Linked DNA regions of Rattus norvegicus. The protein of the gene in region 1 purifies or fractionates together with the protein of each later gene. This does not show direct contact. Links are inferred from orthologs where the notes say so. Each region holds a gene or a part of one and is shown in the gene's direction. Other genes may lie near its edges. The genes, in order: Ralbp1, Ccdc6, Reps2 and Aak1.

What was found.
Region 2: the proteins of Ralbp1 (region 1) and Ccdc6 purify together in Homo sapiens (affinity purification with mass spectrometry; 3 studies listed by BioGRID and IntAct, counting the BioPlex papers as one, with this or other methods). This does not show direct contact. The link is inferred for Rattus norvegicus from reciprocal best matches to the Homo sapiens genes RALBP1 and CCDC6.
Region 3: the proteins of Ralbp1 (region 1) and Reps2 purify together in Homo sapiens (affinity purification with mass spectrometry; 3 studies listed by BioGRID and IntAct, counting the BioPlex papers as one, with this or other methods). This does not show direct contact. The link is inferred for Rattus norvegicus from reciprocal best matches to the Homo sapiens genes RALBP1 and REPS2.
Region 4: the proteins of Ralbp1 (region 1) and Aak1 purify together in Homo sapiens (affinity purification with mass spectrometry; 3 studies listed by BioGRID and IntAct, counting the BioPlex papers as one, with this or other methods). This does not show direct contact. The link is inferred for Rattus norvegicus from reciprocal best matches to the Homo sapiens genes RALBP1 and AAK1.

The regions. Positions count from the first base shown.
Region 1 is NC_086027.1:112,910,187-112,917,784, reverse strand, and holds part of Ralbp1 (ralA-binding protein 1), read left to right. Parts: intron 1-2,373; coding exon 2,374-2,723; intron 2,724-4,436; coding exon 4,437-4,598; intron 4,599-5,722; coding exon 5,723-5,854; intron 5,855-7,598. UniProt on the Homo sapiens protein: Multifunctional protein that functions as a downstream effector of RALA and RALB. As a GTPase-activating protein/GAP can inactivate CDC42 and RAC1 by stimulating their GTPase activity.
Region 2 is NC_086038.1:18,522,770-18,531,135, reverse strand, and holds the start of Ccdc6 (coiled-coil domain containing 6), read left to right. Parts: upstream 1-3,908; 5' UTR 3,909-4,029; coding exon 4,030-4,311; intron 4,312-8,366.
Region 3 is NC_086039.1:35,923,442-35,931,039, forward strand, and holds part of Reps2 (RALBP1 associated Eps domain containing 2), read left to right. Parts: intron 1-2,014; coding exon 2,015-2,098; intron 2,099-4,274; coding exon 4,275-4,420; intron 4,421-7,598. UniProt on the Homo sapiens protein: Involved in ligand-dependent receptor mediated endocytosis of the EGF and insulin receptors as part of the Ral signaling pathway. By controlling growth factor receptors endocytosis may regulate cell survival.
Region 4 is NC_086022.1:120,989,344-120,996,941, forward strand, and holds part of Aak1 (AP2-associated protein kinase 1), read left to right. Parts: intron 1-105; coding exon 106-207; intron 208-1,477; coding exon 1,478-1,588; intron 1,589-3,293; coding exon 3,294-3,404; intron 3,405-4,228; coding exon 4,229-4,323; 3' UTR 4,324-7,598.

The DNA.
Region 1 (7,598 bases):
TATTTGTGTGTTGTGCAGAACCTCATCATTCCTAGTAGAATGTCTCTTTTTTGTGAGAGCGAGCGCTCAGTAGTTGTTTCCACACTGACTGACAGCCAGCATGGCACACTGCCTGTGTAGCTGTGTCTCCCCTCTGCCCTCCTTGTCTGTATGGGATCTGACCCAGGCCCATGTTCATGCGAGGCGAGGGCTCCGTCACTCAGACAGCCCAGCCCCCGACCCTGGCCTTGCTACTTGGTGCCAATTGGATGGCACCTTTTTTTCTGGAGATGTTTGGTTCTCATTTATATCCGTTCCAATTTAAAAACAAATATGAAAGGGGCCAGAGAGATGTCTTGGCAGTTAAGAGCAGGGGTTGCTTTTCCAGAGGACCCGGCTTCAATTCCCAGCACCCTCATAGCAGCTCACAACTATCTGTAATCTAGTTCCAGGGGCTCTGACACCCTCTGTGGTCTCTGGGCACTAGGCCTGCACTCGTGCACAGACATACGAGGCAGAACACCTATATATGCCTATAGATACCTATATATACCTATAGATACCTGTATACACCTATAGATAAGTGAAAAGGCAAACAAATGCTAGTATGAAGGACAATCTAAATATCATCTGTATTTGCTTCATAATATTTTCTACATTAAATTACTTTTATACTACTCTATTTCTCACTGGAATTCCTTGTGAAGATTCCAGTTTTTAAAAGACAACATTTTTTTTTTCTTCTTTTTTTTTTTTTCGGAGCTGGGGACCGAACCCAGTGCCTTGCGCTTGCTAGGCAAGCACTCTACCACTGAGCTAAATCCCCAACCCCAAAGACAAACATTTTAATAATACTGACAACCTGTTTTGGTTGTCTGTGGTGGAGTAGTAAATGTTTTATAAGTCACACAAATGGAAGGTGGATGGTGGAGCACACTCATACCTCTAGCACTCAGGAGGCAGGAGGATTGTGAGTTTGAGGCTAGCCTGGGCTCCATGGTGAGTTTAAGGCCAGCTTGGGCCACATAGTGAGGTGTTATCTGCAGAAGCCATGATCAACAACATAGCAAGAGAGTGAGGGGACAAGAGCTGGTGGGACAAGGAGGGCAAGAGAATGACTGAAGTCTCAGCGATAGTTGTTGTTAATCTTGTTTTATTCAGATTGTCATAAAAAAAGAAATGGAAATTTTTCTATCTTAAAATAAAGATCACCAAAATAAGATTTGTTAATCTGGATAAGGTACAGATTTTTAATAATGCCATTCATCGAAGGTTTGTACATAAGATGGGAGTATCATTTCAAATATTAGCATTATATTAAGATGTTCAGATGAGATGACAGTTTACAGTAGACTTAATTTGTAGTTGTATGTAGTTGGTCTGTAGTTTTAAGTTTAAAAGAAGCAGCTGTTTTGATTACTGTCACTGGATTATGTCACTTAAACAGATGGGACTGAAGACAGAAGTCTGATAAGATGTTTGAAAAGCGTGCACTTGGTGTGTTGGATTCATGTGTTTTCCACTCAAATATGAAAACCAAATGGTTGTATTTTAGAAGCTTGACTTTATTTTCTTGCTCTAGCTTGGTTTGGTTCAGATTAAGAAAGCACTTAAAGAATTCAGACTTTAGGCCAGGCAGTGGTGGCCCATGCCTTTAATGCCAGCACTGCGGAGGCAGAGGCCAGCCAGTCTCTCTGAGTTCAAGGCCAGCCTCGTGTAGAGGGAGTTCCAGGACAACAAGGGCTACACAGAGAAACCTGGTCTCTAAAACCAAAACCAAAACCAAAAAAGAATTCAAACTTGAAAGTAGAAATTAGGTGGGTGTTATATAATAGAGAAGAGTTTTCCACAAGCTTGTTATGCTAGGAAACTTGGTTCTGCATTTGGAATAACTTATTTACAGAGAAACAGCTGGTAACGGCTGCATGTGACAGTTGCATTTTTGGGTGTCCGTCTTGAGGTCTCAGGAACTTGGCTCTCTGTGCATAGTGTATGTGCTCAGATTATAGCTTCATTTCCCCCTGAATTTTCATCTAACTTACATTATATTTAAATTTTTTCCTGGATTAAACATTTTCTTAATATTCCATGGTTTCTGGGAATGTTAAGTTTCCAGCTGTGGTTTTATGTGCCGTGTTCATAGAGAGTTCTGTGACTCATCTGCAGACACGGATTCTACCAGGAGGATTTGAGCTTAGTTCTGAGAAGGGCCTCACTGTAGCCCAGGCTGGCCGACTTGAACTGGCAGCAGTCCTCCTGCCTCAGCCTCTAGTGCTGCTGAGGTCACAGGCACATGCCCTAGCCTGGCTCCTGTGTCTGCGGCAGGTGTGTATGGTGGGGGGGGGAGTGTGTCTGATTCTGATATTCTCTCTCTCCTAAATTTAATATTTTAAGGAATCAAATCAAAGGTAGATGAGCTGAAAGCAGCCTATGACCGAGAGGAGTCTCCAAACTTGGAAGAATATGAACCTAACACTGTAGCCAGCTTGCTGAAGCAGTATCTGCGAGACCTTCCCGAGAATTTGCTTACCAAAGAGCTTATGCCCCGATTTGAAGAGGCTTGTGGGAGGACCACAGAGGTGGAGAAAGTGCAGGAGTTCCAGCGCTTGCTCAGGGAACTGCCGGAGTACAACCATCTTCTGCTCTCCTGGCTCATTGTGCACATGGACCACGTCATCGCGAAGGAGCTGGAAACCAAGATGAACATCCAGAACATCTCCATAGTGCTGAGCCCAACCGTCCAGGTACGGTGCTGCCACACGCACTCGGTGTAACTGTCCGGGTTCGGGTGTAACCGTCCTGGTACGGGTGTAACCGTCCGGGTACGGGTCCTGTCCACACACACTCTTTTGGTGCTGTTACTGGGAAATTAGAGAACATGTCTGTGGCTGACTCGCAGATAAAACAGTGACTCCAAGGAGGATATTGCGTCAGCCTGACCACAGATCTTCTCTGGCCATGTGTGGGCAGTGCCACCATGGAGAGATAGGAGCATAGTTTGTGGAGTGTGAATGTGCTACCTGCTTGGATCAAGCACAAAGGGCTGTGGTGTTTGCTTGGCAGGTCTGACTGAGGACTTCACCTGTACGATGGATCCCGAGAGAGGTGCTGTGTTGCCTCTCAGTCTGAGAAGTCAGTTAGGGAGTTAAGTGGAACATTGCTTGTGTTTTCGTTTTACTCACATGCATATCTGGCATCCTGTTGTATATGTGTGTTCATGTTTGTATGTGGGAATTGCGTGTGTGTAGCCATACATGTAGATGTATGCATGTTTATGTGGCGGTCATAGGACAACATTGTTCCTGTTCCTTAGGCACCAACCGTCCACCTTTCTTCTTATATAGGGTCCCTCGCTGGCCGGCAAGCTTCAGGGACCCTGCATAGGTGTGCACAACCATGCCCAACATTTTTTTAAGGTGAATTAGGGATATTGAACTCAGGTCTCTATGTTTGCATGACGAACGCTATCTTCCTGGCCTACGGTGCCTGTGTCACACTCTACTCAGTTGATTCCTCAAAGAAAGTCTTTAGAAGAGCTGATATTCTATGTGTCAGAGAGAGGGGGGGACGGATGAAAAAAGGAGACAGTGACTCTGTTTTGTTGTTCTTTGTTTTTTGTTTGTTTGTTTGTTTTCCGAGGCAGGGTTTCTCTATGTAACCCTGGCTGTCCTAGAACTCACTCTGCAGACCAGGCTAGTCTTGAACCCACTCAGATATCCTCCTGCCTCTTCCTCCCAAGGTGTGCACCACTCTAATATTTAATTAAAGTCCTCTTTTTGGTTGGTATGTGGGGTCCTGACCATATGTCATTATGCTCTATTATAAGAGGATACTTTGTTTTGCTAAAGATATTTTCATTAGTTATTAGTTAATATTTTAAAAACTTTCTCATATTTCCCAAATATTATGATCATTTTTGTTAGCCTGGATTTGGAATTTGGTCAGTGCTGCATTGTTACTCAGTGTTGCCATAACCTGAGCGCTTGTTCAACAGAAGCTCCAAGAACAAGGGAGTCTGAGCCAGGAAAAAATGTCCTCTCTTGGTTGTTCAGCCATCCTGCAGCTCTGGCTTCCCAGTACGGGGACATCCTGGAGCCTGTTGCTGCGTGTGTGCCGGAGAGGTGCCAACCTCTTCAGAAGGTCACTGTGTGTACAGAAGCTCTCAGAGTACATAGGAAGTGACCAGTAGGTATTTAAGTCCAGTTAGTGGGTGACGACGGGAGAGTGCACATCAGTGGCACTGCATTTCGTGTCCTTTACTGCTCTTCCCTTCTGGTACTAGAGAACCTGACTTAAGCAGGGCTTTCATGTGCTCTTAAATTGATAATTAGTGAAGCATCTTTGGTCCCTCCTATAGAGATGTCATGGCATCCAGAATTAATGCACAGTGTGATTGATAAAGGTAGGTAAGAGATCACTTCCATGGTCTTAGGCAACACTAAATCTGTTTTCTGCAGATCAGCAACCGGGTCCTGTATGTGCTTTTCACACACGTGCAAGAGCTCTTTGGCACCGTGGTCCTGAAGCAAGTAACGAGACCTCTGCGTTGGTCCAACATGGCCACAATGCCTACACTGCCAGAGACCCAAGCAGGCATCAAGGAAGAAATCAGGAGACAGGTGTGTGCTGCCCTGCCTGCCCCTTCCCTGCCCCTCCCTGCCTGGTTCTGTGCTGCCCACAAAGGGCTATGGAATGGGTTGGTGAACCCTAGCTTGGGGAGTAGGGAGCTGTTCCTGTGTGTAGTCCATGACTCTTGTGTGTTGAGGTTGTGGGACCACACCCAGTTTTGTGCAGTGCTGGGGCTGGAACCCAGGGCCTTATGCAAGTACCTGTCCATTGAGCTCTGCTCCTGTCATGGGCATGAAGAACATGCTCTTCTTGTTCCACTTCTACCTGGTCCTAGTTCATATGGTGTAAGTGAGCAGCCATGGTAGGAATAGCATAAGGCTTTAAATTCCCACTCTGCTCATTCTTTTCTTTTCTTTTTTCTTTTTTTTTTTTAATTTATATATGAGTGCACACCAGGTCTCATTACAGATGATTGTGAGCCACCATGTGGTTGCTGAGAATTGAACTCAGGACCTCTGGAAGAGCAGTCAGTGCTTTTAACCACTGAGCCCTCTCTCCAGCCCTGCTCATTCTTGACATGCTAATTTTAGACAAATTGTTCAACATCCTTAAACCTTGGTGTTCTCATTTTAGAGTGGATCAGCTCAGGGGATGAGTGTGGGAGATGACACATGGGAAGGACTCAGCCACAGCTGATCTCAGACATGTTTGCTTTTCTATGCCCTCACCCCTCATGCTTCACAGCTCAGATACTGGAAATTAGGGATATTTAATCATTTACCCTGTGTGTGTGTGTGTGTGTGTGTGTGTGTGTGTGTGTGTGTGTGTGTGTGTCTGTGTGTGTGTGTCTGTGTGTCTGTGTGTTGGGGATGGAGAGACAGACTGACTGGTAAGAAATTCAAGACTTGAGTAAAACCTTGAGGCGGTTGATGGCCTTGTGTGACTATTACCACAAGCCTGTTTTTCTTGTTGGCTGAGCTCTACTTATCAGTTACTGTGAGGAGGAACAAAAATGTGGGTGAATAATGGAATGAGGGTCTAATCCCCCGTATCACCAATGGGAGAGCGTACGAGGTCGGCAGGGGCGGGGAGTTGCTGCTGTTGCTATGCAGAATGAAAACTGAGCTGCTGTCGGATAGTGAGATGGCAGCTTCTGTGTCTTTTTCTTATCTAGGAGTTCCTTTTGAACTGTTTACATCGAGATCTGCAGGGCGGGATAAAGGACTTGTCTAAAGAAGAAAGATTATGGGAAGTACAGAGGATTCTGACTGCCCTCAAGAGAAAGCTGAGGGAAGCTAAAAGACAAGTGAGTCATTCTCTTATATCCTGTGTAGTAAATCTGCAGGGAGTGTGGCCGAGCCCTCTATACACTGCTGTAAGTTATTTCTTCTAAAAGGAGCATACCTGTCTGTTGGCGTTAAATTCTCTGGTGGGAAATTTATTCACACAAATGTTTTTTGTTCTATGTCATTCATACTTTAGCATGGTATAAATCAAATTAAGTTTAGAAAGAATTTTCTTTTTTTAATTACAAGTTGATCGCTTTTATTATTTCTGCCTGGTTTGTGTCTGAACAGAGCTTTGTAAGGGTGAGAGACCTCTGGAGAGAGACTGCTCAGAAATTTGAGTTTTGAATGGAAATTCAGGGCTTGATGCCCAGGAGGGCTCCTGCTGTAGAGACTTCACCTTGTGGCTGCTGTGCTGGGAGGGCACAAGGCCCACTTCTGGTTTTATGCTAGTTTGCTGTGTAAAGCTTGCGTTTGGACTCAGTTTTTCAGCCATCAAAGCTAAACTCCACACCCTGAAAGATCTTACAAGCCACATGCAGATCCAGCAGCAGATTTGAGTAGCACAGCCTACAGACAGACACTAGTTAGCACCTCTCAGACCTGGAGAGTGGAGTAGTGGGTTATTGAGGCGACAGGCACCTAAGGCCTTTTGCTTTGAGGTTAGAGTGCTTGTTGAGGGGACAAGTCTAAGATTGGCATAACCGCACCCAGTTTTCAGGATGTGTAGCCTGGGAAGGAAGCCTTTCATATTATTGTTCTCTCTAGCTCACTTAATGGTCTGCCCTTTGTTTCCTGTCTTATGACCTCTTGTTTGTTTGTTTGTTTGTTTGTTTGTTTGTTTGTATGTTTGTTTTAATAAGCTCTCTTGTGGCCCAGTAGTCTCAAATTGGTTCTATAGTCAGGGTGACCTTGAACTCTTGATCCTGCTGCCTCTGCCTGGCATGTGCTGGATGGTAGGCTCGGGACATCATGCTTGGCTTTGGACGTGTGCCTGAGTTTCACAGGGCAGATTGCACTGTCCAGCAGCCCTACGTGAAGGGTCCCTGCCATAGGACAGAGGTAGATGTTTGCCTTTTGTGTCTCTTAGTTGTGTGTCTGTTATCAAAGGCCCACGGCTGTGGAGATAGATGGCTTAGTTGGTGAAGTGCCTGCTTTGGCAAAAGTAAGGAACAGAATTCAGTCCACAGCACTCACACCTAGGAGTTATGTGCTTGTGTCATGGCTTATGCCTATGATCAGCACTGGAACAGCAGGAGGGCCCTGGGCTTGAAGGCCAGCCAGTGCAGAGGACTCCATGAGAGACCATGACTCAAAATTAAGTCGGAGAACTGACTGAGGAATGACATCTGACAAATGACTTCTAGCCTCTACCCATGTGTGCACAAGTACATGACTATACAGGTTTGTGTACACACACACACACACACACACAGAACTTTGGTATTGAGCTCAGAAGCAGTGTGGGGGTATGACAAGAGATGGCTGTCTTGTCTTCTTCCCTTTACCAGTTGTAGTCTCTCCCCGACCATTCCCTCCCCTTGCTGCCTTATTTTTTAGCTATACACCCAGGTTCCTTCATGCTGGCTTTACTTTTGAGGGAGAACTTACTTAAAGACATATCATTCAGTGGATTAATGACTGAAAATATGAACAAAGTCTAGCACCAGTTTAAACCTTGCTATCCTCTTGTCACTTTCCCAGAAATTAACTGTACGATTGTTTATCATACACCCCAGAAATCCACTCACAGCATTTATCCTC
Region 2 (8,366 bases), on another chromosome or scaffold:
CGCATAAATATCATCATCCAGCCCCAGTGTACACTTCCGACAGTTGAAAAACGACAGCAGTAAGCACTTCTGGCCACTTGGGCAGATGGGAGATTTATTTACACAGCAAAGGTGCTGCCAGAATTATTTCTTAAGGACACCAACGTGGTTCTTTTCCCAACAGTTGTTTGCCAGGGTCATCTTGCCCACTTGGCAGAATTACGCTTTTCCTGATAAGATCACAGGGGACTTAATGGCAGAGTGGGCTTAATGGTAGCTGTGACCCTGTGCTGACCCCTTGAGCTGACTCTTGGAGGTATGTGCTTTGCTATGGGGATGGGCCTAATGGCTGGTGAGTCAGGGTTATCTCCTTTGGTTATAGGAGTGGAGACTAAGTGGAGGTCAACCCTGGTGCAGAAACGTTTACATCCTGGCATGCTAAAATTTCCTTATCTATCAGGCTAGGTTAGCACCCTACGTATCCCTTGGGGTATTCTGGAGTCAGTGCTCCCTTAGCTGAATTCCACTTGTATGACTTAATACCTGCTGAGCATATCTAGCCGGAAGTGCTTAATGACATCACTTCCACCATTTCGGGGGTTTCTTCTTCTATCTCTAGTAGAACAACTGTTTTTGCAGTGGGTGTGCGGTTGGGGGAAGGTAGTCCTGGCTACCTCTGGAGACATTTTTAGTTGACAAGGAACAGGCAGAACAGGGGCGTGCTGATACACAGAACAACTCTCTTTTTAAAGAAAATATTCATTTATTTATATGAGTACACTGTCGCTGTCTTCAGACACACCAGAAGAGGGCATCGGATCCCATTACAGATGCAGCCAGTACTCGGGCCCAGGAGCCGGACACAGGCTCTAAATGGTGTGGACTATCTTTCTTGAATGGACTGCCTCACGGGAACGCATTCCTCTAGCCAGCCTACGTTTGGTCCACTTCAAGTCTTTTCAAGGCTCTAGCAGTGCGTTCTGGATCCACCAAATCACTGAGAGTTTGAGTGAAGTTGTGTGGATCCTCTAGTGAAGGAACCAATGATGTATGACGACATATTACACACACACACACACACACACACACACACACACACACACACACGCACGGTCGTTACAACTAAGCAACAAAAATCTCCTAGGATTTACTCCACCATTTTTATGTCTTCATTGAGAACATGAAGGTTTAAAGGGTACCCAGCAAATCAAAAAGGCAAAAGTTGTATTTGAGAAACAAAGATTTAGGTGTCCCCTCGCGCCTCAACAGCAAGGCACCCTTTATTTTACCCATAAACCCTGTGACTTAAGCTCAGGGTGAAGCCGATTCCATTATTTCTGCCTTAGAGGTGCTAATCTTCCTTTGCTCCGTCTTCCTCCAGGGAACTCAGCCTAGCATCTACCCTCTGATTCATTTCCCCTGGAAAGCAGAGGAGTTTTATACTGATCCGATCCGTTTTGTATCTGGTGTTTCCATTGTAATGCTATTACAGAACCAGCGTCGTGACAAATCGTCTGTTTATGAGGGGAATCAGCTCTACAAGAAGTAGAAAATTAGATGTGCTTCTGTTTTGCAGTAACAATAAAAACCAGAACGGGGGGGGGCGGGGGATCCTCCAATTTATCCTCATCTGTATCAGCAGGGAAGCTTCAGAAGATGAAATTTTTTTCTAATATCTTCTCAAACCGATTATTAACTACAGATACCATGTCAAAATGTAGTTCCCCTAAGGAAGACCAAGGCGTTCTCAAGCTTAGCCTGACACGGGCCCTTTAAGAAAACCAGTGACTTCTAACTCCACCCCTCTGCCGACTGGAAGCCTGCAGTCGGCTTCCTAAGGCAGTTAGTTTTCGAGATAAACGGGAGGGAGCTAATCCCCCCTGACCCCCGAGAAGGAATGCTCCCCAGGCCGTAAGCCCTCCAAACCCCGCAGTCTGGAGGTGGGGTGGGAAAAGAACAATAGAAACTTGTTAAGTATGGAAGCCACGCCCACCCCAGACTGCACTGAATAAAGCGGAAAGAATGCAGTTAAATCCCAGTCCCGGGCCTTTCCCCATCCACCTCACCCCGCGAGTCGCTTTTCCAGAAGCTTCCTGTAACCCAAGGAGCCGAGTGTCTCCTGTCCCAGACCCAACATGGCAAAGTCAAGGAGCCAAGTAAACTTCAGTGACAAAGTGGCTCCCTCAGCAGAGAATTGTTTACACTGGCGATGTGCTTCTGGAGAGCAATGCCAAAGGCTCCCCACCTCGACTTTTAACTTTTATGGTTAAATTCTGCTTCACCGACTGTGTTCAAGAAGTCCCTAGGAGGACCTAGGAGAAGTTTGGGGGGCTCCCCGCAGTTAGCATTTCTGAGTTGTTGACTAGAAGCAGCCATCTTGGTAAACATAAGGTCAAGGTTTCACCCCTGGCAGGTTAAGAGTTTATTCCGAGGTGAGACCAGTTCCTGTTTAGCCGTGGGATGAAACAGCCTAAGCGCCCGATCGAATGTAGGTTTAAAGACAAGGTTATGAACCAGGAAAGCGAGGTAGACATACTAAGCACTTAACAAAACTCCAGGAGCAGTTGACAGCCAGAAACCACTTTTCACCTCCCTTCCCCCGATTTATTTATTTATTTTTTTGCATTTTGTTTCCATGAGTTTGTTCTTCCGTTGACTAAACTTGGATAATAAAACCCGTCTGGTTAGTTTCACTTTCTTTCTTTTTTTTAAAAACCTAGAAGAGAAAGCTGTTTTGTATCAGAAGGGTGAAGTGTTTAGACCTTTCTCACCTGCTAGGCCTGTTTCCTGCGAGCCCTCCTAAGAGGGAGGAGCCTAAAAGTATTTGAGTTTGAATTTGATTCTTTGAAGCTGGCTCTCTACAGTAGTAATTACGGTTTTATTTTTTACCTCCTGGAGTTTTGTAGGAGTTGGAGAGCCGTAGGTAATAATGGTTATACAGTTCCCCTCACTTAATCGTGGCCATTTGTTTAGCATTGTGCCTGCAGTTACTTTGGAAAATTGGTACTTGAAATGTGTTTCAACCCCTTTGGGGGGTGGGGGGAGCTCCCGTTTCTTGACTAGACAAATCTCGGTTTCTTAATCCTATTCCCGTGACCTAGGCAGAGTCTTCGCAGGAGGAAAAGAGAAAAAAGGGTGGACGGGGGGTGCGCCTGGGTCCAACAACTGACGCACCAGGGCCTGGTCGCCTCTGCAAAATTCTTTCTTAAGCTAGGCTAACCTGTGGCTGCAACCCACAGACAGATACACACACAGAGAAGGAGACAGACACACTCGGAGTGACACAGACAGATAAGACACACTCTGAGGGAGGAACACAGACAGACACACAGAGAGGGAGAGACAGATACACACTCAGTGGGAGAGAGACAGACACTCAGAGGGAGAGACAGACAGACAGACACTCTCGGTTCACTGCAGGGGAACTTTCTGTCCTCAGCCCCAAGCAAGCGTCCGCACGGGGTGCCCAGCGGGAGATCCACGCGCGGCGGCGCCGACCGAAGGTGCTAGGCTCCAGCTCGCCAGGGATGGAGGGTGGGGTGGACCAAGGAGCCTGGCTGCCCCTCCCACGTGTCCGGGCACCTGCGGGGCTGGCGCGGCGTGGGGTCCGCCTTTCTCCGGAAGAGGCGGCGCGGCGGGAGGAGGGGGGCTGGGGCCCGGGACCGCAGGGGGCTCCTCTGGGGCGGGAGCACGTGCGCGGAGAGGCAGCGCGGGCCCGAGGGTGTGCGTGCAGCTGCTAGGCGAGCGCTGGGGCTGGGGCTTTGCGGGGACCGCCCCGCGGAGCGCGCCAGAGCCCCGGCGCTGCAGTACTGCCCGAGTCCGGGCGGGGTCTCTGTTCCCTGGCGGAGCAGCTCGCGCGGCCGCGGGAAGCGCCCTCTCTTTCTCCGCCGCCGCCGCCGCGCGTCTGCGCCCTGCCGCCCGCCCGCGCCGCGCTCTGAGCTCCCCCGCTCCCCCGCTGCCGCGCGCCCGGCCCCGCGCCCACTCGCCGCGCGCCCGGCCCTTGGCGTCCCCGCTCCCCGCGCCCGGCTCCCCGCGCCCACTCGCCCCGCCATGGCGGACAGCGCGAGCGAGAGCGACACGGACGCGGCGGGCGGCGGCCCGGCAGCCATGCAGTCGTCCTGCTCGGCGACCTCGGGCGGCAGCGGCGGGGGCGGCGGCGGGAAGTCGGGGGGCATTGTCATCTCGCCGTTCCGCCTGGAGGAGCTCACCAACCGCCTAGCCTCGCTGCAGCAGGAGAACAAGGTGCTCAAGATCGAGCTGGAGACCTACAAACTCAAGTGCAAGGCGCTGCAGGAGGAGAACCGCGACCTGCGCAAAGCCAGCGTGACCATCGTGAGTGCACCCCGCGGATCGTGGGGACCCCCGAGTGCGCGCCCCCGTGCGGGGCTGCGGGCCTGAGGGCACAAGGAGCCGGCCTTGGGGTCCACGAGCGCCCTCCCTCCCTTAGGGTGTTGGAGGTGCCTGGGGAGACTCCCTACGTCCCCTTGTCGCCCCGGGTGGAGGCCCCTCCGAGGCAGGGCTGGAGGCTGGCGGCGTGGCTGGGGGGGCGGGGTGGGACTTTCTCAACCCTAGGGTGCCTGAAGGCTCTGAATCGAGGGACACCCTCTCCGAGTCCCCGTGAGTGGACGGAGCTGGGTTCTGCCTAGGGGTTAGTTGGGGAGACGGGGTGTGCCACTGGGCTGGGCCCCCAGTTGGCAGGAGGACGGCTCTTTGCTGGATCGCCAGCGCAGGGGGAGGGAGAGTGGCCCGGAATCCGGGAAGTGGAGTTTTCTGGCCAGGATGGAAAGGGAAGGGCGGGCACTGAGGCTACACTAGCACCCCGTTCGGAATCCCTGTCCTTTTGGGCCCAGAGGGTGGGCGGGTACCGAGTAGTGGGGAGTGTAACGTCTGGCGCTGACTGGGACAGGGTTGGAGCTGAAACCATGATGGAGGGTGGCCGCTGGGACTGCCTGGCTGAGCAAGGATTTACGTGCATCTCCTTCATTGGTTCGAGAGTCTTAGGAGTACTTGCCTGTGAGTCTAGGTACTTGACGGGAACACAGGCCATCTGTTCTGTTTCTACCTGGCCCCGCGAGGCTCCCCTGGAAGAGGGCAAGATTAGTCTGAGCTCAGCCTCCTGGTGTAGCAGAGTGGAAAGGCCCCCGAAGCGGTGATGAGGCGAAACGTAACTAGAAAAAGTACGCGCTGTGCTCTCACCTCTCCTCCTTGCCAACTCCACATCATTAACATGCAGAATCCCCCACAGACAACCCTATTCAGATCAAAACAGTTTCCCAGCCAGCAGCACGGAAGAAAATGTCAAGAAATCAAGGAGGATAAATTGTCAGAGCCGCTTGCGTGCAGCTGATTAGACGGGAACCTTCTAAGAGAGAAAAAGAAATTGGGTGGTGGGTCAAGGATCACATCCTGGAGACGAGAACGGGACAAATTTAAGCTGCCCTTGTGCCAAGAAAAAGTGGTGGTGGTGGTGGTGGGTGTGTGTGTGTGTGTGTGTGTGTGTGTGTGTGTGTGTGTGTGTGTTTGCCTGGCTTCATGGCTTCATGGTCTGTGTAGATAGCAGGTCTCCACTAGGGAGGCAGTGTGATTTACAACCTGAATAGCCGCTGGTTTTGTAGAGGTATCTTTCTTGCTCTTCCCCGGTTTGGTGGAACTGGACCTACGAGCGTACATCGCCAGGCTGCAAATTGTTGGATTGGCCTTTTGATAGTCAAGGAAAGGCATTTGTGGAGATGACCACTTAAGCCTTTTCTGGGCTAAGCAAGAGGACTCAGCAGAGTTGTGGTTGAAGGAACAGAGGGACAGTGGAGGTCGTTTATTTGAAACTTGATGTATACGAACACTGCTTGAAAACGTGTCATAAATGACAGCGTTGGTCTCTTGCAGAGAAGGAGCAGTGGAAGGGAACAGACCTCCCAGGAGGAGGGGGTACCTCTCTAGCCTCTTCTGTGCCTGAGAGCATCAGGTCAGGCTGCTTTTTGTGTGGAGACAGGAAACATTGAGAAGGTTATCTGTTTGACCTGCTGACCCATAAGTAGGTCTGTTTCTTGTACACAGACACACTGGCCTTGCAGGGACAAACATGTTTGGGTGAGGTGGGGAAAGCTCTGGTTCTTCTGCTCGCTCTGAACGACAGCGAACTTCCAGTCAGAGCCCTCGTGCTAGTACGTGTTCTCAAGTCCTATCCGGTGAGGTTGTTAAATCGTTCAAGCTGACAGTTTGCAAGTGTGGGGCAGGCCTCAGAGTTTTACAAGTGCCAGCGGCCCACCTGGGTACCTCAGTCTTGGCAGGTGTATTAAGGGGCTAATTGTCAAGGGCAGGAAAGAGGTTGGCGAGGCTTTTCACCTGGGGTGAAGATTCGGGCGTGGGGGTCCCGCCTCTGGAACTGCCTTAAGTCCAGAGAATCCATGCAGCGTCAAGGTGTGCACCTCCTGACAAACCCAACTGGAAAGGCTCTGACGAGGATAAGGTAGTTCATCCAGGCCTCTGCTGGTTTCCAGACTTTTAGTTAATTTGACAGGCAGAGGAGTAAGGGCATCATCCTGTTTCTTGCTTTCTTCACTCTTGTTATTCTTCTAGTTATGATAATTCATTTTTGTGTCGATGACCAGTACAGGTGATGACGTCTGTACTTAGATAAGATACACTATAAGGGTATTGACTTTCAATATACTTTTCTCCCCCCAATAGGTTTAGGCGTATGGTAAAGTTAACATAGTTTCTCCCGCCCGCTTCCTATGCCCTCTGTAGACACAACTTCTTCCAGCACCAGCCTCCAGAGCTCCAGAGAGGGGCAGTTGTTAGTGTCGAGGGACCCACGTGTACCCACAGTCTGTGATTGACATTAGGTCTCACAGTTGGAGTTGTATATTCTAAGGCCTTGGATGAAGGCATCAACACATCACCCAGCACAATTCTGTCTTCATGGTAACCCTTAGCCCTCCTTCTTTTTCTTCCTCCCATAAGACCTGGAAACTGTTTTGCCCGCCCCCCCCTCGGGATGTCACGTGGGTTTGCTCTGTCACACCTGGTAAAACGGACCGAAGGAAGGATCCCTCCTGATCTTTGGCGTGTGCATGTGTGCACGCTCGAATAGGGCATACACGCGTGTGTCTGTGGAAGCCTGACACTGTTCTTTGACTTGTCTTCTACCTCCTATGTTGAGGCAGGGTCTCTCTCACAGCCTGCAGATGAGGTTGGCGTAGCTAGCCGGCTTGCTCAGGGGCTCCTCTGTCTCTACCTTCTGAAGGGCTGAGATTACAAGCTGGTGTTGCTAGGCCCATGGAGTTTTTGATGGCTTTTCCTTGGGTTCTGAGAATCGGAACCCAGTCTCCATGCTTTTCCAGCAGGCGCCGAATCCCCTGACCCTCGACAGTATCCATTTATTTGTTTTTTGAACGTGTTTCTTTTTAGGGCTCGCATGTGACCGTTTGTCTACTGAAGGGCGTCTTAGTTGGCTTGCAAGTTCTAGCGGTTGTGAATAAATCTGCCTTAAGCATTCACATCCATTTGTCTAGACAGAAGATTTCAGCCCATTTGGGTAAATACCCAGGATTACGGTTGCCCGGGTTATGTGGTAATTGATTGTGTTTACTCTTGTAAGAAACTCCCAAACCCCGTTCTAAAGTGCCCAGAAGAGTCCTCGCTCCTCACTGAATCTGGTCCCGAACTTCCTAGACTCTGATCTTTCTCAGGCTTATAGTGGTGCCTCATAGTTGGAATTTTTTTTTCCCACGGTGAGGATCAAGGCTCTAGCCATTGAGCTGTCCTGTCTGTTCTGGTATAGCTGTCTCATTCCCACCACGACTCCCAGTTCGAGAAGAGTGGATCCTTTGGTCTGTTTCTCAGTATCTGAAGTGAGAGGAAGCCTGTGTGTGGAGAGAGAGAATGAACAGGCCTCTCGGGCGGTCCATCACACAGGGGAGGGGTCAGAGGTAGTCTTCAGTGTACTGTATCTGGGCCTTAGAGAGCGACGAGAGTGATCTGAGGGATTATCCAATTTCACCCATTAAGTCAGCAGCGGAGGCAGGCTACTGATTATAGATGGTTTGGCTTTGGTTTGGTTTGGTTTTTTTATGAGTGGGAAATAAACACAAACCAAATGTTTAGTCACTCCTTCACATAGTGTTTGTGTGTTAGTCCAGATTAGCGTGGGGCAAATCCCGGAAGAGTGTGGTCTCCGATTGTCTTGACGCAGACCCCGAGGGTGGCCCAGGGATGGGTGATCCTTGGTCAGGTGTGGGAGCACAGTTGACGGACAGTCCCACAATGGGCAGTCCCACGAGTTCTCAGCCAGCTTCTGGGGTGACATGTGTGAGCAGTGTTCAGTCGCCTCCCGCAGGCACGTGTCTTTTCTAGACAGGCTCAGAAATGCAGTGCATTTAGTTTGG
Region 3 (7,598 bases), on another chromosome or scaffold:
TAACAAGCCTAGCTTTAGAATTTGAGACCATGGTAACAAGCTAGTTTTGGAACTCGAAACCTGGCCTCAGACCCTGCTATTTGTATGATCTTGGGGTGAGTTTCTTGACTTCTTTAAGTTTGTCATCAGCAGGCTGGGGATAATCACTACTTCTTAAGGCTATGATGATGTGATATAATAATTTATGAAAGGTCTGTATGACACATCCATAGAATTCAGTTTGTCCTAGAGTCTAATCATAGCAACAGCAGCAGCATGAGTAACACAGCCATCTCTAATGGAAGGATAAGCTGGGAGAAATAATATGGAGCTTGACACCAGGCTTGTCCAACGTTTGTATATAGAGTTAAACGAGGAAGGGAGTTGTTCAGGATAAAATGGAGTAACAACGACTAGATATATTGTGTAAGAGTGCTTGCCTCACACATATGAAACTTTGGTTCAATCTCCAGCACTGCAAAATGAGTAAATAAATCATTTGGCAGTGAGGTTGCTCAGTAGGTAAAGGTGGTTGCTGACAACCTGAGCAGGAATCCTGCAACCCAGATGGTGAAAAAGGAGAAGTGACTCCCACAAAAGGTCTTCTTTGACCTCCATAATGTACCATGGCACACACATGCATGCACATACATGCATGCACACACAATAAATATATTAATGAAAAATAAGTAAGACTCAGGAACAGATGGTATTCTACCTTGGGAAAGAATGAACAGGGGAAAAATTGGGGCAGGAGAACTGAAGGCAGAGAACCCCAAAAAAGTCTAGATTTCAAGAATAGGAACAGTCAAAGCAGAGAAGGGAGAGAGAGGGGAATTACAATTTGGAGAGTGTCACTTCTCCACCACCTGAGATCACCAGGGATACCATTTTGGAAGGGAGGTGAATGAGGAGAGTATAAGAGGCAACCAGGCTCTGCTAACCTTAGCTCCCTGGGAGCCAGTCTGTTCAGTAGTAGCACTATGGGAAAGAAGGCACACTGTAGGAGGCTAGAGATGGCCATGCAAGGGGCAGTGTGGCAGTTGTTTGCGCTACAATCTGAGTGTTTTGTGCTGTGAAGTTTCAGGCAAATGAAGGCCTGATACAGTGAAATGTAGAAGTCACTTTGCTCATAAGCAGCTGGTTTATTCATCCTGTCAGTATTTTGCATCATTGGCTGATAGCAGCAGAAAGCAAAGGGCTCTCCCACAGCTGAAGGTACACAGCCTTAGGGACACAGGGAGTCTTATGTAAGTCCCGTTACCCTGTGTTCCACTTGGCTGTGTTCTATGTCGTGAAGTGCTTGGGGGTATCCCTCATCAGTCTTTGAGACTTAATAGTCAGCCTTTCTGATCACTACAGCCATTACATACCTCCTTTCCTTTTAAAGGTAAATGGCTATGTTTATTAGAGTACTTCATTTTTAAAAGATTTAAAAGATTTGTGTGTGTATTTCTGTGTGTGTGTGTGTGTCTGTCTGTCTGTCTGTCTGTCTGTCTGTCTGTCTGTCTGTCTGTCTATCTGTCGAAGCCAGAAGAGGACATCTAAACTCTAGGAGCTGGGTTGTGAACTGTCTGGTGTGGGTGTTGAGAATTGAACTTCAGTTCTCTGGAAATGCAATTCTTAACTGCTGAGCCATCTCTCCAGCCCATACAGTATTTCTTTACTAGGATTTTAATATTAAAATTATGGGTCTTTTATGGTACTGATTGTTTTCCTCGGTACTCTTTAAGTCATTTTCCTAACCCTTTCTCATCTAGTATTTTTTTTTTTGATAATTTTTGTAAAGTGTCAGTTTTTAAGAAATCTGTATGTGAGATACTCATGGCTCCTTTTCTTTAGACTGGAAGGAGACGTGGAAGGGAATAGCGAGGTCTGTGGTGGAAGATCTTCCCCAAGGATAACTGCATGTCTGCAGCTTGGTCTAGACCAGTGTGACTTGTTCTCCCTGAGTGACTCTTTTCCGAAATGTTCTTGGTCATATGTTTACACAGTTGGGGTTTGCATATATACCTTCTCTTTGACCTTGTTACAGGCTGAACCGGCATCTGAAGCTGACTTATATCCTCAGATGAACAGAGCTCCTTCCCAAGCTGCAGAAAGCAGTCCAACAAAGAAGGTAAGAGCAGCAGAAAGATGGCTGCGGTGCTAGCTTAAAGACCCCTGGGCTTCTTACAGAAACTTGAAATTTTCCACCAAGATGAATGTGACCGATCTACAATTCTGAACTGTAAATTCTTTCTGAAGATTAGAATCCTGAAGGTTTGGGGCTGGACCATGGATATCCCTGGTAGTTTGTAGTCTCTCCAACCTTAAAACTAAACATGGGTGCCTTGTGTTTGGCAAGGTGAAAAAAATGTTTTCGAGGAGCAGGAGAGATGACTTAGCATTTTATGCTCTTGCATAGCTAGGGCCTGGATTCAGATCCCAGCACCCATATGGTGGCACTCTACTTTCTGACCTCTATGCTCATTGTACACACATGGTGCACATACACACAACATATAAAATTAAATATAAAATGTGGGGAGAGCTGGGTGACTTTGGTAAGCCTCCATACATTTGTTAATGAAGCAGATGAGTGTAGCTGGTATAGCTTTGCTACTTTGGTCTCCACTTGATTTCAGATATGCACACACTGCTCTCCTAAAGTGCAGCCAGCAACCTAGGACCCTTACTTGTATCATGTTTCATGCATACCCTACTTAACAATGGCACAAATTACTCCTGCCTTTTAGTAGTTACACATTTGTGGTCAATTTCCTTTGAAAATGCCCCAGAACATATCAGGGATGAGACACAGAGCCCTTCTGGCCTGAATTAGTTTTGGATGCGTGTGTGTTAAGGCAAACTATATCTTCTGCAAGAAGTTTTAAGGAAAACCTCCTATTTACCATCTTATGTCTATAAATGGTTGGGTGTGCATATGACTAAAATGAGATATGTCACAGGAAAGGACATGCTTAGTGAGGAAAAGGCTTATATAATTCCAATAGCCCACTGAGTTCTGCAGTGTATCCAATACTATCCACCAATGGGGCAGATTGTATGGTCTGTTCCAGTCGAGCTTCTTGCTGCTTTACCATTCATGTGCTCATTTGGAAATTCAGCAAGAATCTAGAAACCATCTAGTTTCAGACAATGCCCCCAGGTAACAGTAAGACCCCATTAGTACCCTTTGTGGGTAGGACCGCCTCCCCTTCTTGGTACCATGATTTCTTTCTTTTCTGTTTTGTTGTTGCTGTTTTCTTGTTTTTAAAGTTACCATGCAGAGCAGTTTACTTCACTATCTCATTTCCATAAGTATTAGTCTGTGTTGGTTCTCCCCTTCTTTATCCCCACCTGTGCCAGGATCTTTTCTCAAATCTTGACACCTTGCCTTAGTCTGACCATGTCATTTGGCCCCTGCCCTTCACAGTCAGTACTACTCACTATTGTGCTCCTCGTTTACTTTCTCACCCTCTTTTTGTTCTTTGGTATTATCCCTTAGGCCATTCTCTTAGCAAAGAAAGTGAACCTTGGGTTTGAAAGGTAACATGGGGTCCCCTAAGGAAGCAGGTCAACTGTTTCCTTGAACACACTGTCTTTTTGTTTGACTTCATGTAGGGATCAGGAGTAAGAGAATGATGAGCATATGGTTAGGACCATTACAGATTTAAAATATATTCTTCAAAGAGGCCCAGAGTGAGGCAAGAGTCAGTTTTGTCTTCAATTAGAATAGACCTTGTGGTTATAAAAGAGGAGTTCTCAATCATCCTAATGCTGCGACCCTTTAATACAGTTCCTTGTGTTGCGGTGACCCGCAACCATAAAATTATTCCATTGCTACTTCATAACTGTAATTTTGCTACTGTTACGAATTGTAATATAAATATCTGAGGTGTTGAATATCTGATATGTGACCTCCAAAGGGCTCACAACCCAAAGGCTAAGAACTGCTATTATATAAAGACTATGTGACAAGTTTAAATGACAAGAAAATATAGATTGTTTACAACATTAAAAAAGGACAAGGGTTATGTCACTAGAATCTTATTTTGGTGTCCTTCTTTGTTAACAACAAGAGTGGTAGATTCCCAGTGTATTTTAAAAAGACAGACAGTAGGCTGTTTGCTGGGACTCACTGCCAGCAGCCTCCAGCACTAGTCAAGTATTACCTACATGTCTGTGATGTGCAGTTTGAATAGAGGTCTTTTTGATCTTGGTCACAGAACTGTGAATAGTGGCATGATAGGCGGAGGGATCATTTAAAAAAAGTTTTTGAATGTTTTGGGTTGATTTTTTTTAATCCACAGGATGTACCACATGCTCAGCCTCCATCAAAGCCCATTCGTAGGAAATTCAGACCTGAAAATCAAACTACAGAAGGCCAAGAGTCTGCTGCTGTAGTTGGAGGGGCAGCTCCTGCAGCGATGGTGAAACCCCATCCAACAGTACAGAAGTAAGTGGCAAAAAGATGAGTGAAGAATGTGGGGAACTTCCTCTTACATATGCATGCATATGTGCTTGTTAATTTGTTTCCCTTTCCTAGCCACAGGGTTTAATGGTTGTCATAGTCATCTCTGTCATGATGATGACGACGGTGACAGCATTAAAGGCTCCCAATCTGATAGTAGACTTTATATTCCTGTTAGCCTGACACAAAGGAGCAGGCAAGTCCTAGGCGAGTGTTTAGTTTCTCTCTTTTCTTTCTTTCTTAACCCTTTTTGTGTTGGCCCAGATTTTCCTATGAAGGAGTCAATATGGCAAGGGCCATTTCCCCTCATCTCATGATCTCTTGTTTGATCTTGTTTGATTTGTTCCTTTAGGGCACATGGCCCACTCAGTGATCATAGTCTCAGTTCTCAGCAGAATTAGGGTATGATTTTAAAACATCTTCAGGTAGAGTTCGTTATTAGTCAGCTCATTACTGAATCGTGCAGGCAGATCTTCCATAATACCCCCTCACCATCTGGAACAGATACTGGAGGAATTGTGGGGACACCATGGACAGGACTAAGGATTGAGACATTTGTGCTTTGGACAAACCACCCTCCTTAGAAGGCTGTCTTTGAGATCTATTACTTGACTCAGTCCTTCTGTAGTGACATAAGGTGAAATATTGAGGGCAAAACCCCAGTGCTGTCACTTGACTTGAAGTGATCCTTGCTTGCCAGCATTGCAAGTATTTGAACTCACTTGTGATATTTCTGTCGAGCCCTTTCAGGTCCCACGGGCTCTGTAGCTTTCCTTCTGCTACACTATTGTGGAAAGAACAGCGACAGGTTCTGTAGAAGCTGGGTTCCATTTGGGTTCTTTGTATTCTTCTTGAGAGGATTTTTCTTTCCCCAAAGGGATAGTTACCTGAAGCCATCAAGCAGTACGGGAAGTGACTTTCTGCATTGTTGTCACCTTCCTAACCAGGACAGAGTTCTGTTAGGCACAAAGATGGCTATGTTTGCCTTCTTCCTCCTCAGCTTCATGTTAATTCCAGTCAGTCACGGGTAGCCGCATTGCCGTCCAAGGTAGATTGCAGGGCATCTGGTAAACTTCACACAGAGAGATGTTGCTTTCCCTTTTTTGTTTTTTTATTTTAAATCAGCTTGGTTGAAATATAATTTACACAGCATACACTCTGGTGGCTTTTAGTATATTCACAAAAGTCATGTGATCATCACTACACACTATAATTTTGCAACCTTTTTTGTTATCTCCAAAAGATTCTCTATGCCCAGTGGAAGTTGTTCCCCAAGTGCTCTTCCAGCTTCTGGAAACCACTAATTTATCCCCTGTCTCTACCCTGCTTACATTTTACATTGATATAGTCATGCATCATGTGCTCCTTTGTGCTTGATCTTTTACTTTCGTTAGTGTTTGCAAGGTTCATCCATGTTATTGCATGAACTAGAACTTACCTTTTTATGGGAAATACTATTCTACTCTATTGATGTTCCACATGTTATCCAATAATTCACCAATCAGACTTTTGGGTGGTTTGACCTTTTTACACATTTTAAACAATGCTGTAGTGTTATCTGTGTTCATGTTTTTGTGTGGACTTTGTGTTTTCATTTTCTTGGGAATACATATATGGGTAAAATTTGGATTTATGTCATAATGCTATGTTTAATACATTGAAGAAGTGTCAGATTCCTTTTCACAGTGAGCACTCCATTTTACGTCTTCAAAATGTATGAGGAATTTAGTTCTCTACTTCTTCATCAATATTTATCTAATTTCTGTAAAAATATTTTTTATTTTTTGAGATTATAATATAATTACATTAGTCCTTCTTTTCCTTTCCTCTCTACAAACCCTTCCATGTGCCCCCACCTTGCTCTCTTTCAGATTCATGGCCTCTTTTTTCATTAACTATTATTACATTCATATAGCATTCTTGAATACATAACCACAACCTGCTCAGTCTGTATGATGTTACTGGTATGTATGTTTTTAGGGCCGACCATTTGGTATTGGAGACCGTCTCTTGCTCTCAGCATTCCTTGATTGCCTATAGTTCTTTGTGTAGGTTTGAGGCTGTGTGAACTTTTCCCTGTCTCCATTAGCATGTCATCTTTTTTCAGGTCATGTTTAGGCAGTCATCCATCCTACTGACTGTAACGAGGCATCTCGCTGCGGTTTTCATTTGCATTTCTTTAGTGATTAATATTGTTGAGCATCTTTCCTTATACTTATTGGCCATTGGAATATAGTTTTGGATAAATACCTACTCATATCCTTTACCACTTATAGTTGAGTCATGGGTTCTTTTATATAGTCTTTATAAAACAAATATATATAGACAAATATATAGACTATATAAAACAGATACATTATTTTCTCCTGTTCTGTTTGTTGCTTTTTCACTCTCTCTCTGTTTGTATAGTTTGAAGCACCAAGATTACATTTTTGTGTGTGTGTATGTATGTGTGTTTGCACTCTGCAACCCTGATTGACATGTAATTCAGTTTGTAGACAGTCTGGCCATGAACTCACAAAGACCTACCTCTGCCTCCCAAGTTCTGGGGTTGAAAGTGGACATTTCCATGTCTGGCTTGGCACTTATATTTTTATTGTCATATTTAAGAAACTGCTGCCTAGTCCAAGTTCACAAAGATTATTTACTTAGAAAAGTCTTGTCACTTTATAGCTAACTCTGACTCCTATGGTCTATTTTGAGTTCATTTTGTATCGCATAGGAAGATGAGGTTCAAATTCATTATTTGACATGGTAATTATATAGCTATCCCTACAGTATTTATTAAAAATGGTGTTTTATTCTATGCATACGTTCTGTGAATGTCAGCATGCTAGTGTGGAGATCATGTACTGTTTAGCTAGGAGACTAATGCACAGGTAACGGTGTGAATAGTCAGGACCTAAGTTTTCACATGAGAGGATTTATACAGCTTCTAGCATGGTAGGAATGTTCATAATTTTTCAAGGCTGGGAGCAAAAGATAGAATATACAAAATGTTTGTCCTATAGGCTTTTCCCAAACCACAGTTTTGAGATGTAAGCTCAGATTCCCTAAGGTATGTGATATATATATATATATATATATATATATATATATATATATATGTATATATATATATATGTGTGTGTGTGTGTGTGTGTGTGTGTGTGTGTGTGTGTGT
Region 4 (7,598 bases), on another chromosome or scaffold:
GCCCGAGACTTGTGGAAGTGAGCCTTCCCAGGTTTTCCTGAGCAGCCTCTGACTTCTTCCTTCTCTCATCCCTTCCTCTCCACTGTTCATGCCCTGGTACAAAAGAAAAAGCTGATGCTGCTGTTGAGAGTCTCATACCTGGGCTGGAGCCACCTGTTGCCCAGCGCCTCCCATCTCACACGGAATCTGTGACTTCAAACCGCACAGGTCAGTCAGGGAGCTGCAGAGCTGGTCAGTGCAGGAGCCTCAGAGCAGGGCTTCCCACCTGTGGCAGATGAACCTCTGTTTATTTGCATTCTCGTTGGTTTTATAGTGGATGTTATGAATTATTCTTACAGTCTTGCTTCTGGATATAGAGTATATCCTTGTGCTTATGAACTGAATACTTTTTGGAGCCATGTTTTTCTTTTTTTCTTTCTTTCTTTTGTATGGAATAGAGTCTATTCGGGGCATGGGGAAGGGAGTTGAGAGGATAGGAGAGGGAGGGGCAGGGGGGGGGAGACGAAAGGACAGATTAAGAGCAAGAAAGCAAGAGAGCTGGAGCCATATTTTTCTTTAGAATGACTCCCTGATTACAGAATTTGCTATTCATTACCCTTTGCCCAGAGCTGAGGATATAGCTCAGTGACAGAGTGCTTGCAGAGCATGCACAGAGTCCTAGGTCTAGTCAATCCTCAGTACCAGAAAGGGGAAAAAAGACTGTCTCCACTGGGAGCAGGTTCCTCTGCCTTCTTAGCAGGAGTCTGCGCAGACAAATGGCTGCCTCGGCATGTCCTCAGCATTGGTTCTGTGGAGCTCAGCCCTTCCTGTTGACAATTCTTTCCCACATCAGAGCTTCATCCTCTAGAGTTGACTCTTCTTTAGCTTGCAGGAAACATTGAAATCATCCTTGGACCCAGTATTGCTTTGAGTCTTTCAGTCTTGTCTGAGTCCTCATGCTTTGATATAAGACTGTCTGCTGGTGCCCCTTATGTGATGGTAATCAAAGCTGGGCCTCTCCTGTTCCTCACTTGGATGTTTCTCCAGGAAACACTCCAATGTTTTATCTCTGGGTTTTCCCCAACTCTTTACTGAAAGAAAGTAGCAAGAGGCATTTCAAAGGGGAACCAGTGTTAGCACGTCAGTGTGATTCCTGAGTGGAAAAGTTAAGTGAGACTCTAGCCTCAAAGTCCTTTCTCCAAACAGTGTCTACCGAGAAGTGTGTTTGAATCACAGACTCGTTTATTGTTTAACGAACAGTTTCTAAGCTAAAAATCTATACGTATGTGTTACTGCCAAATGGAATCTAGGATACATACATGTTTTTGTGCTTAAAAGTCCAGAGAACTTAACATGTTTCTTTTGATTTTCTTTCTGTATCTTGGCTTGTATATATGGCCTGTAAATGCAATAATTTGAAAGTCAAGCTCTAACCTCACAATATTGTTGTGTGCTGTTTAATGCCATCGTTGCCTGGAATGCTGGTAACTGGACTCAGACTCTCTCACGGGGGAAGACTCTCTCCTTGACTGTTCTCTGCTTTCTAACCCTACTGCTGACCTTCTGGACGAGTTTGCCCCCATAGCACTCTCTGCTTCCACTCATAAAGGTAAAGTCTTTCTTTTTGGACCCACATGTATCCCTGAGCAGAAGAGTTGAACAGCTCCTGGGGACTTCCCTTATCAAAAGTCTTTGTTAATAAAGTGTTCAAACTGTCCATTTCTGTAGAAAAGATGGGTTTGTAGTCTTTTACGGTCCTCTCACAGTAGTTAATAAGCAACTGCAGACAGGTGCAAGGATGGCTTTCTGACAAGGACTGGGATACATACATTCCATGTTACCCTTGGGAGCGCGTGCCTTAAGGACCAACCACATAGGTGGATAGGTGGGCCAACTGATTAGCCTTAGAAAGTAAAGTCATAGCCATACTTAGAAGGTAGAGGCAGAGAAGCAGGCAGATCTCTGTGAGTTCAAGGCCAGCCTGAACTATAGCACTAGTTCCAAAACTCTGCCTTGAAAAACGAAACAAAAAGAAAAAAAGTAAAATCATTTTATCAAATCTGATTCAAGGTTTTTAAGTGTAAAGAAACAATATCCTCAAAAAAAATCATTCCTCAAAAATTGAGCTGTGAACATTTTAATATTATTTCACCTTTGAGTCATAATTGATTACTGGGTTTCTCTCTCTGGTCCACCATTTTCACTTCTTAGTTTTGGCTTCATCTGGTTTGAGATTTTGCAGGCAGCCTAGCTTGGATTAAGTTCTGAGGTCTGTTGTGGTTATAGCTTGCTTGCCCATAGCAAGCTTTATTTCTGTGTTGGAGAAGTATTGGAAAATGAACAAGTTAAGCTCCTCCTAAAGGAAATTCAAGAAGAAAGCCCAGAGCTAACTGAAAACAGAGCTCATGGGTCACAGGGATGATGGCTGGTTTTGTTTTAGGGTTGGCACAGGAAGTTACCTGTGTGGACTTTGATGGCTGGAAGGGATGTGCGGTAGCAATGTGTAACCACAGAGAAGCACTGCCTGCCACACGGTGCTCGGGCAGCGTTGCTGGGGCCAGCTTTAGTTAGAGTGGAGAACATGCTGGGCATGGTGGCACCTGCCTTTCATCCCAGGCCAAGAGATAGAGACAGGCTGATTTCCGTAAATTCAAGACAACTAGGCCTACAGAGTAAGACTTGTCTCAAACAACAACAACAAACAAAACACAAAATCCAAAACAAAAAGCAAACCCAAAAATGGAGAAGGGGATAGTCTAAGAAACTTGTGCTGGTGGTCTCAATGTGTGTGCTTTTGTGACCCAGCATTCAGAATTATGGAAAAGTCTTTTTTTCACAGAACAGGGACTCTGAGCCTTTGCTTGCCTTGTACAGATTGGCTACTTCTCTTCCATTGTTGGTTTTGGGTCCTGGAACCTAACACAGGACCTTGCACTTGCTAGCACACACACTGCCACGGAACCATACCTCGGCCTCTACAGTTTCTCCTTTGAGTGTTTCAAGTGTTGTTAGCCAGGCCTCTATTGACTCAATAAAGATATCAACATTGCAGAGACACATCACAACCATTTGATCTCTACACAATGGAGAATTCTTAGTTATGTATGAAATTTTAACGTTGTAAATTCTAAAGTTTTACTTTTATACACCTGTGTTTTCCTGTTTCCAACTTTTATTTCAATTCACAAAAATAAGAGCTTTCACCTTTAAGAATAGTGGTTGTTCATGGCTTTAGGCTTGGTGCCTCCTTCTGTTCTCTCATTTGCTAATCTCTTCCTCTGTTGTTTGCTTGTGTGCTTGTATTCTATATTAAGCTGCAGAAGATAGTAATCTCATCTCAGGGTTTGGTGTCGCTGAGGGCTCCGAAAAGGTGGCAGAAGATGAGTTTGACCCTATTCCTGTACTGATAACCAAAAACACACAAGGTAAGAAAGAGGCTGGAGAGAAGAGAAGAGCTTGACGTCCATTCTCAGCAAAGCAATGCCCTAGCCTGCATGGTGAACCGGAGCATCACCATTTGCTGAAAGACCCTGGATGATGGCAGTCAGTGTAGGCTGGACCAGCATGTGAGGCAGGTAGAGATGCTGCTCTGTAGCTTAAACCTCACTGACTTGGATTTATTTAGAGAAGGCTTAGTTTTTATGAAATGTCAAGCCAAAAAGAAAGTCTCTCTGGTTGGTAGAAGCCTGAGGCCTATGTCAGAAGTGTTGAGCATTTTTATCATAATTAGAAAATATGTGATAGACACAGATTCTGCCCAGAGAGCTATTGGTGGCATTTTGGTATCTTCTGCCTCTGTGGACATTATGGAACATGTCTTTCCTTCCTTAGGTTGAGCCATGAGAGCATGCACAAAACACCAAACGCACCACTTACTTACTTTGGAAAGCATGTTCATATCACAATACCCTGATAGCTGATTTCCCCAACATAAACTAGTGTTTACCCTGTGAGAGATGGCTGTCTGTTGGCAGGAGGCTAGCATGGCAGCCAGAACTTACGGGCAGACATGTCGTTTGGAGCCAGCAGCATCTCTGTGGTATGCTGCCTCTACTGCGGTGGGCATGGAGGAAGATGTTGGTGGGAGGTGGTGGTGCGGTGGCTAGGTTTAGAAATCAACATGTAAGACGTTTTAAATATGAGATATTGTTTCTCTGAGTTTCTTTGTTTTCCTTTTTCTCCTTCGCTTGCTCTGCACATCTAACCCTAACCCTCTGTTTTGTACTGAATCCTGTCTTTCCGCTTCCAGGTGGGCACTCTAGGAACAGCAGTGGGAGCTCTGAGTCCAGTCTTCCCAACCTAGCCAGGTCTTTGCTGCTGGTGGATCAGCTCATAGACCTGTAGCCGTGAGCCAGGAGCAGACACAGTTCTGTAACCTTCATGCCGTAATATACATTTTCATTACGGAGTTATGAGAAAAATGATTTTTTTTTTAAATCTGCAAATAAGGGGCCCTCAAGCTCCTTTCTCCTACCCCTTTCCTTCTCCTATAGAAATGATAAGGAAAGAAAAATCTCTGCCCCTCCAGATCCATCCCTTGGCCAGCTCCTCTCGTTAGTGTGCTGTGTTTTCTCATTCCCCATCTTCAATAGCATTATCTTAACTCAAGCGCTAACCGCCCTGAGCTTCACCTCTGCTGGAATCCACTCACAGAAGCTTGGCTGTCACTGAGCCTGTGCTGAACACTTTTTGTCTCATTCTTGCTAGGAATGGCCCCGTGTCAGTCCTGTAGCCCGTCTCCCAGATGCTGATGAATGTGTGTCCATCCTGCTTTTTATCCTGATGCACTCATGAGGACAGGGCAGCTATGGCTGGTCTCACCCCAGGCAGAAGTCTGGAGAAGGCCATGCAGTTTCAACAGGGCAGACCCAGTAGGATGTGTTTGTGAAGAGAAAGTGAGCTCAGCTCTAGCCAGCCAACTTTGACCTTGTTTGAGCCAAGGGATCTTACACCCCATGTGCAGCCTTCTTGGCATTTGTCTAGCTATCTGGCTTCCATTGAATCGTGGTTTCTCAAATCTAGAGGTGTGACTGCAAGTGTTTGTGATCCTTGAATAAATGTGTATGTGATATAAACACCAAGCATTGCCATCCTTCCATGTTACCTGGCCCAAGCTGGGATCTCAGAATCAGACCAAAACAAGACAGTGGTGGGAACATGATACCTTTTACTAGAAGACTTTTCATGGGGGGTGGAGGGGAAGGGAAGGAATTGTAGCAGAAACAGATGTATTTTTCTTGTGATTTTTTTATTTTGAATCAAATATTGTAAATTGTGTATAAATGAAGATGCTGAATAGTTCTGTTTCCACTTGGCATTTCAAGTCTGACATCAGATGTCTGTACAGGGTTTTGCTCTTTCCTGTGTATAACCATATAGCAGTCCTAGAGTGGTGGAGTTATGTCTTGCTGGAAGCTTTCAGCAGCCTCTGTCTCTGTATACCCGGGCATGTTGTTTATTTTCAGATCATCAGAAATAAGTGTGCCGGGCACAGTTCGGCTGGCTGCTTACCTTCTCTCTGGTGTTTAAGTCGAAGGCTGAAGCTGATGAAATATGTGCGGCTGGCTTTCCTTGGCTTCCTAGATTTCAAAGACCAAACAAAGAATAGTTCTTCACTAACCTTAGACTGTTGTTATAGAGTTAAATAGAGGCTCTGCACTTGCTCTACAACATGCCTCCTGGTCACCCCTGTGTACTTACATCAAGGTGTGTGGAGAGCACTTTGGTAAAAATCACCCGTTAGAAGAGGAGCAGGCACAGGGAGCTCCCTTCCTCCAGTGCCATCCTCCAGGGTTGGACGGGGACTCTCAGTTCATCAGGGCTGTACAATCCCAAACCCCATGGTGTTCTCTACATGATGCTGTTCTTTCTTGCTCACATTGCACTTTAAGTGGCGGGGAACCACCAGCAGCACGAGCCTGCAAACACTGCCCTCTGGAGGGCCACCGTTGTCTCCATCAATGTGACAGCAGGAAGAGTGGACACTCAGTCTTCCTTCTGACTTTAAATACTTCCTGTGCCAGCTGAACCTAGATGAGCTGAGGAAAGGCCTCTGATAGAAGAGATGTTTCCACAAGTAAGCAAGACGCGGTGTGCAGCGAGGATGGGGATATCACGGAGGAGCTCTCCACACGAGGGCTGAGGGAAGCAGGACTTGGTTAACCCCTTGGTGGACAGGAAATGATTGTGTCCTCTTTCCTGGACATAGAAAGAATGTATAAACTAATGAAGGAAATGTTTATTTTTAAATAAGGATGTTTTAGGTCTGTGTTTCATATTTGTTTTTTTTCTCATACAAACGTTAGCAATATAATGAAATGTCTACTTTCCCAGTTTAATTGCAGCTATGAAGAGTGCAGTCTAGAAATTAGGTTAAGTGTCTCTAAACCTTTCTTCCGTGTGTCAAGCATAATTATATTGAGATATATTGTGTAGTCATTTGGCTCAAAAAGGCTTAATAGAGACACTAATGAAAACTCACAGACTTTTACCAAGGAAGATGGTTGAAGCCTGGGTGAGACAGCAGAGACTGGGCTGGTCTTCAAGAATAAGCCTTCTGTGGGCAGAGCTGCTTTTCTGTTGAGGAATACTTTCTAGTGACTTGGTCAGTGCAGCCTTCCTTAGATCAGTATCAGCCTAAGCTGAGGGAGTGACCTGAGAAGAGCATTGTGTGTGGTAACTGGAGATGCGTGGAACAAGCCTGAACTGTAAGAGGGCTGCACGCCTGTTCGCTAGCCCGTTTACTTTGTCTCACTGGTATGCCTCAGAGCTGGCAAAGGCAGGATGGTAAGAGAAGGGGCTGGGGCAGCTCAGGCTTCTGGGACCTCATCCAGACCTTAACAGTTAAGACCTTGAACAGTCATTTTACTCCTCAGAGCTGCTGTTGGCTGTTTACACAGAATTAATCTGGATAGGTGCTCTGTGAGACAGCAGAAGCCTAGCAACATTGTGCTACTGGTTTAGAAGGACTATGAAGGATGGTACAATCCAGATGTCCTTCAGGTAGCTTCTGTGCTCCTACCATTCCTACAGCTTTCCTCAGCATTTACTCAGACTTAGAATGAGCAGTTATAACCTTATTGCTACTTGCTAGTTACCTGAATAAAAGCCCACATCATCAAAAGCTTGAAGATAGATTTTCCTACTGTAATATTGGGTACACACAACCTTACCTGTTGCAGTAAAACAGAATCCAGAGGTTTCTATTATTTTAATCATATAATCAGGGATTTGTTGTTAAAATATGGACAAATACCATATGCACATTTTTTATTTGATCTTCTCTCTGATGAATAGAAGTAATTACTGTACCAGAAAATATCACAAATTGGTATTCCCTGTAGAAAACCAAACCTAATTCCCAAAGTTTCTGAAAATATGGTCCTCAAGAGGAGATATTTTAAAATGTTCACCTCTAAGTAGCTTAATCGTTACAATGATTTCTGAAGTAGACATATCAGAAATAAATCATGTAACTGAATGTTCCCTCCAGAACCATCTGATTTTGCTTGGGAAGTGAATGGTGACCCTTGGCAGGCCAGTGGCATCTGAGTTGTTTAAACTCTCGTTTTTAGATATAACATCACCAGATAAAATAGCAAGGACGTGGTTGCATTTTC